2 linked regions of the Bombyx mori genome follow. The protein of the gene in region 1 purifies or fractionates together with the protein of each later gene. This does not show direct contact. Links are inferred from orthologs where the notes say so. Each region holds a gene or a part of one and is shown on either strand. Other genes may lie near its edges.

Region 1 (3,693 bases):
TGTCATCATTGTTGATGGGTAGTAAATCGCCGTCCCTAGGATCGGTGTATGATATCAGGAAGGCGACGTCGTGTAACCGATGCAGTTTCTCGATTAGCGCTTTGAAATCGTCATATTTCAGTTTCTCGGTACGATTCAGCGAGAAACGACGGAACTCTGCATCGAACTGTAATGAGAAAAATGTTATTTTTTAAAATACTTAATTATTCCACAGAAACTTCAGAGTGTATCTAGTGTACATATTTTTAGTGACCTAGTGAACTGCTCATACTAGATGAAGCAAACGAGTAGGTGAGCTTGTAGAACCCTAATCTGGGACGTTACTAGCACTAGCCCTAACAAAAGCAGTGCTTCGTAGAATCTACCACCGGATCGGAAACGCGACCTACTAAGATGATTCGGCAAGAAGTTTAGTGGGCTGTGTCTTAGTATTACTAAATCTTTAATTACAATGGTTTTTTTCATTATTATTGAGGAGACAAGCAAAATAGCTTTGAAAACCCATAGACGTGACAATGTCAATGCTGCAAGCTATTTTGAAAGATGAAGTCTCAATTGCACAGTATTATTTAATGAATGTCCCACCCTATAACTAGAATGCATAACTTCTTTATTGTGGAAATAAGTAGGGTGGTAATACCTACCCTTACAGGCCTACCTAACTGATTAGACTAAGAACATCAGGTATGTCTTCAATAATCAGATCTACTAAAATCAAAATAATATAAAACACAGTTGACAAATAGCATTTCAGTTATGACAGTTATTTCATTGACAAAGTTATGAGAAACATCACCTTTCAGTGTGTTAAGGAACACAGTGGGTCAAGAGGTTTTTATGTAGTTGAGTCCTATATGTCCCATTTCATTGAAGGGGACATATCCCATGGCCATGCTCAGGACAAATAAGTTGATTTGTCAAATTGTAGAACTGTGTTATATATATTTGAGTTAATCTGACAATAATAATTAGAAAAAATATTTGAGACTTTATAAAAATCGCTCCAAAGTCGTGATTGAGTGAAAAATGCACTAATACTATAAAAATGAGGATACGTGTATCGTTTCATACTGTGAAGATCCTGAACATCCAGCCTTATCTTTATTGGTATCAGAAAAAGTGTGACAAAAAATAGTTTAATTTATAATATTATAGTGATTTGTATCTCTGGATTATATCATTTTGTAGGATTCATTATCAATGGACACAACTTGGGTTTTTAAAATTTAAACTGAAAAATTGATTGCCATCTTTTTTTGTCCAGACACTAGAGATATTTTTCAAACATTCTAATGTTTATATAATCTCATAGTCTTATAAAGTCCGTTGCTCAGAATATCAAAAAAATTACTAAAATACTTAATTAAATAGTTTTTGGCGAAGTAACATTTCAAACGCACCCAGGCAGATTAGTCATAAACAAACCCAAGACACTAAATATATGACTAATACACAATACTATGTGTAGAACAAACAGAAATTATGAATTTTAAGAAAAATTATAGATGTTTTTGGTGCAGGACATATTGTGGATTGTCACAGAGTATTTACGACTTTTTAATTTTGTCATAAAATTTCAAGTTTTATTATTGATTTTTATGTGATCTCTTTGTTTTAGAAAATTATTGTGTTCATGGTTAAATCGCTTTATTTTTATTAAAACACAAAACACTTTTTGGAATAAAAAAATGCATGTCTCAATTTATTTTATTAAGATTTTTGTTTTAGGTGTATAAAATAGATAAGTATTAATGGAGAATTTGTTCATGCTATCAGTGTTATGTGTAAATAGTAGAATATTTTACACTTATAAGAGTCTACATAGTGTATATTTACACTTATGTGGCCAATTTTTTTGTAAATGTGAATATACCATGTAATCCTTGATGTCATTTTATATAGCAAGTTTAGCCATTACTAAAACACTGACTCAACTGACCTATACCTTGTTGCGAACATTAAAAGTTATTTATAGGTGTCCTAATTTTTGCAATTAATGAATGCAATTTCTTACTAATGTTATCAAGAGAAAACACTATACCAAAAAGCAACAACAATAATGGTATATTGTTATAATTTCCTCTGAATAAGAGCCATCTCAGAACAATATAATGATATTCTTGACACAAGAGAAAATCATTGATTAGATTGATGAATCTGATATAGGTTGTGTTTAGGTATGCAACTGGTAAGCACCACATTTGCATTTTATAGATTTAGTTATGAATTACAACAACAGGAAACAACGGACCTTCTTGATATGAAAAAAAAATGGAAGTTGTCATTTTGCATTCAATAATGTAGTTTGTATTGTAAACAAACAAGGTATATGATAATTTAAACTCAATATTTACTTTAAAAATATATTGTATCAACAGCATGAATATGGTAATATTCTATTTACTGTACCCCCTCAGATACATTTAAAAAAACTAATATTAATCTTCCCAGTTTTGCAGTTTGATTTCTAAACTTATTTATTTGTAATGCAGTTAATCTAATTGAGTCCTTCGTACGTGAAGATAAGAACAATGTAAAATTTGCCCAAAACATGCCATTTATTTATTCTAAACGAGTTACAAAATGAGAAACGTTAAATTTACCTTCGTCTTCACCTCGACAGTTTGACTGTCAATCCGAGCTGCTATCTTATTTTTAGACATCTCGAAGGCATTTATCACAAAACTAACACACTTGTAAAAAAAACTATTTAATACATCTAGGCACTTGATTTCCGAAACAACATTGTAAAATTTAACATAACAATAATTTAATTGACGGTAACCATTCGACTCGCGTCATGCTCGCGTCGTAATTTCCAGTAGGTTTTCTTTGACATTTAGTGTCAAAAATGTTTTTAAGTGACGTCTCCGTAACCAATATTAAAGTGATTCTTTTGTTTGTCGAAGTTTTCATTGGATATTTACGAAACATTACAGTTGAGAACAGATTTAGTTCTATATTTTATGAATTCTCGTATTTTTTTAAGGGATTTTATGACCTGGTAACTAAGACCTTTAGGTCAAGTCTTATTTTAATTTTAATGATACGTAACTTTTTTTATATGAAAATGATATTATGAAATGAAATGAAGTTGATTATTATGAAACAGCATGAAGTGAAATGAAAACGAAATGAAATGATATGGGATGAAGTATAATCTCAGCAAAGTGGTGGTCATTTACTGAGATTTTTTCAGTGGACTTTTTGGAGGATCCCGAGAAGTTACGTCCAGCGGCTTTGTTTCATTTTCCCACATTTGTGCACTTTTACAGATATTAAACAGTTAATAAACTACCGTTATTACACATTTAAACCTGAAGAAACACTAAATAGACAAAATAAAACAAATTACACAACTTCACTCCTCGCGTTCCCGCCAAAAAGTCTGGATTTTTGGCTTGACTTCAGAATTTTTTATCTGCTCCTAATGAGGAGTAAAAATTAAGTCCATATCTTTATATACCTAGGTAGTGTTTTTTAGGTCAGTTATTATAAAAAAAAAAGAAAGGTCTTGTATGAATTAGAACCTAGTAGCGTCTCTAAAAATATTTAGTTAAAATAGTGCAAGTCTACTGTCACACCATTTTTAAACAACTTGAAACGCTGTGAAAAACTCATGTTGGTTTTCTGAAGGCACCATATGGCTTACAATATTTTTTACTGTGTGTGGTTCAGAAAAAGGTGTTTTGA
Region 2 (3,660 bases), on another chromosome or scaffold:
TACCGACAACCACAACTACGACGCCAACAAGAACGAGGCCTTCGATAGCCACGAAGCAAGAACCGGCCCCAAAAAACACGCTTCCATAGTCACCATAAACAACAACAGCAGCTGGGTCTCAAACCAATCCGATGACACTAAAGGGTATTTAGAGAGAGATAAGGATGTACCTCACGACGCCAAAAGGGATAGTTTCGAGTGGAGTCGGCTTGATGGATGGAACCCAGTGATCGATAGATTGACGGGACTAAGAAACGAGAGCTATTACATGGCAACCCAGGTCGATGTTCCGCAAATGAATGGACATCATTATAGACAGAATCTAGGACACGTACATATGTCTCGATCGCCGCCGGCTCATCACAACGTTATCATTGAAGAGGACTATGGTACGACGAGGTGAGTTATTCTAGATTTAATACAAATATTTTTATATTCTTTCAGTGTAAGTAATTCATTTCAATACCTACCTTATTAATATAGTCTACTACCATAGAAGTGTTTCATCCAAGTTCGTATTTATTAATAATATTTCTCTAGCTGCACTGTAAAATTATTCAAAACATCTTAGCTCGGTATATCTATTGACGACCATAACGTCATCACGTCAGTTCCATCGGAGCGATTATGAGTGTGTGGGCAAGCCACTATATGGATAACTTTTAGTCAAATTTAAATTTCTAAAGCTTTCAATAACTTTTGTTAATTTTAATTGTGTATTTTTTTTTAATTCATAGCGAGCTGCATTGATAGCGGTTACTCTGGCTATTAATTAGTGGTGTGCGATGTCGGCATCTTAGATCTTCCCAGAACAATACATTTCAAGTGGGATAGATTTTGCAAGTTTTTATTGAACTAATTGATGTTAAGAAAAAAAACCTATACAATAAAGTAACTGATGTTTCACTGCTATTTGAGCTGATAAATAATGATAGTATTTTTAAGTACAAGAAAATTTTTCTTCTGTATTATGTATGGTACACACAGACGTTAACTCATAATATATTTTTACGCTTCCTGACTCCAACAGGGAATCGAACCTGATGCCTGTAGTATCATTGTCAAGGTCGCTAACCATTAGACTAGGGGCTCCCAAACTTATTATATATTTTTTAGCGCCCCCATTTTCTCACCTACTTAAAAACCACTATAGCGAGAGCTCAGTCGGTGTCTAAGAGTCCTACTAGATGAAATTACAAATCGCCTCTACATAACACTCCAATTTTTTTTCTGGGTCTCTTAGCGTCCCCCTTTGGCCTGTAGCGCCCATATGGGGGCGTTATCGCACACTTTGGGAAAGGCTGCATTGGACCATCGGGGTGACCGAATCTAATTTAAAAAAAAAATTTGCGTTCTGCACTCCTTCCCTATATTCTCTATAAATGTGGGAAATTTCATACTCTTCCGTCCGCGCAATTTTCGTAAAAACGGGTACAAAGTTTTTGCTTCACGTATTAATATATGGATTATGAGTATGTATATTAGGAAATAAATAGCCTATGTTTAGTTAAGTTTGTGATTAGATAGTGCTTTAATTTATCTATATGTGTTGTGCGTGCAGGGGCAGCGGCGGCGGCGAGTCCGGCAGCGAGTGCGGAGCCGCGGCGGGCTTCAGTCGGGACGCCGTGGGGCGCCGCTCCATGTCCGAGAAGCGACACGCCGCCATGGACGCCAAGCAGACCGGCACCTACAAGAAGATCAAAGAAATCAAGGCCATCCATTGTGAGTTCAAACTATAACTACTATTCAATTTGCCCACTGAGTTTCTCGCCGGATCTTCTCAGTGGGTCGCGTTCCCTATCCGATGGTAGCTTCTGTGAAACACGACTTTGTTATAATTCTGACATTGCTGATGTACATGAGCAACGGCCTAAAATCACGGTCAAATGGGACGCAGGATTTTATTGCAGACATTGGTAAGCCAGCTTACGTCTCTGTCCGGTGTTAAATAAAAATAAATGAAATTAATATGAAAGGGAAATACATTAAATGAGATGAGAATAAATGAACTTATAATAAATGTTATATTTCTAAATTATCTTTACCATAATACGTGTAGTTTGATAACAAGATGATTATTTAAAACAGCAATGCAAGTTGGTCCCGCACTCGGTATGAGGAAGTCTTCCAGCTTGGAATCACTCCAGATAGCTATACAAGAAAACCAAAGGAATCCCAGAAATGAACCTATTTATGCGCGAGCGCACCCACGTAAGTATTAATTTTTTACTATACTAAAACAGCTTGGCGGGGAAGGGTGTGAGGAGAGACGGGCCCACGCTGCCCACGGACATCACCTCGACTACTCAGTTGAGTTCAGCTCGTCGATTACGACGAAGAGTTCGACAAGCGAACTAACCCATAGACACAGACAGCCCAATGAGTTTCTCGGTCGCGATTCCGATTCGGTGGTAGATTCCGCGAAGCACTGCTCTTGTTAGAGCTAGTGTTAGCTAATTCTCTCAAGTTGAGCCCGTGAGCTCACCTACCCGTCCGGGCGTAGGGGGAATAGCCTTTTAGGCTACCATCGAATAGGTAGGGAAAAAGTTGAGTTCTCTTAAAAGGGGCTCCGACGCGGTTTTTTGAACAGCAGAAATTTTTAATTATGAAACCTGTTATGTACGAAAACAGACAGACAAATTGAAAGTCTGCGTTTGAAGTTTTCTGGTATTTACGATTAAAAACGGACCTTAATTTCGTTTACTGTATACATAATAATAACAAAGCCTTTTATTCGGACAACAGATATACAATTAAGTTTCTTATACTACTGCACGTATTTGGTGCTTCTTTACTTTCTGTAAGTCCGTTTGCCAGTTGGCAAAGGCCTCCTCTAAAAAGCCTACTCCATTCTAATCTCTCTCTGGCTACTCTACTCCATGTTATGCCCGCAACCTGCCTGATATCATCGTCCAATCTTTTTTGTTGCCTGCCTCTTTTCCTCTTGCCTTCCCTTGGGTACCAATGTGTAGTTATTTTGTTCCATTTTTCTTTTCCTCTGACCAAGTGTCCCGGCCATCGTTAACGGACCTTAATTTCGTTTACTTTATACATAGGTCCATCCAACACGTCCGACTTTGATTAATCATAACAGTATTGTGAATGACCTTTCGTGCTTATAGTGAATTTGATTACAGCGTTAAAGCACTGGTTGACTGACGACAACGCCGGCCCGGATATCATCAGAGGATCGCCTCAACAATCTTCACTGTCGCACAAGAAACCGTCGCTACTCAAGTCCTTATCGACAATGTTCAGGTTTGTTTTATACTAAAGTAATCGTGAAAATCTAATTCACTACTTGAACTTCAGAGAAACTAAGAAATTAACATGGATTTTCGTGTAATGTGCAGCAGAGACTAATATTATTAAAGCTTTGCAAAATATAGAAAAAAATATACTTCACCTATTTAAATTACAACTGAGGATCGCTGTAACTTTTTGATGTATGTACACTTGAGCTTTTAAACCGTTTACAATTTGAGTAACTGAATTATTTATTCCAATACGCAGACCGTTTTCTCTAATTCAAAAAAGGGTTCAAATAAGGTAATAATACAATGGGCAACATGCGTTTAAAATTTAAACTAAATATATTATTGTATCGTTTCCATTGTATATCTTTTCATTTTCATGGACTAAAGATTTTTAATATGTGAG

What was found. The genes of interacting proteins can lie anywhere in the genome.
Region 2: the proteins of partitioning defective protein 6 (region 1) and partitioning defective 3 homolog purify together in Drosophila melanogaster (affinity purification with western blotting; 7 studies listed by BioGRID). This does not show direct contact. The link is inferred for Bombyx mori from reciprocal best matches to the Drosophila melanogaster genes par-6 and baz.

The regions. Positions count from the first base shown.
Region 1 is NC_085126.1:2,330,684-2,334,376, reverse strand, and holds the start of partitioning defective protein 6, read right to left. Parts: upstream 2,832-3,693; 5' UTR 2,664-2,831; coding exon 2,604-2,663; intron 167-2,603; coding exon 1-166.
Region 2 is NC_085116.1:6,900,660-6,904,319, reverse strand, and holds part of partitioning defective 3 homolog, read left to right. Parts: coding exon 1-399; intron 400-1,439; exon of another isoform or gene 1,440-1,561; coding exon 1,562-1,722; intron 1,723-2,088; coding exon 2,089-2,211; intron 2,212-3,137; coding exon 3,138-3,258; intron 3,259-3,660.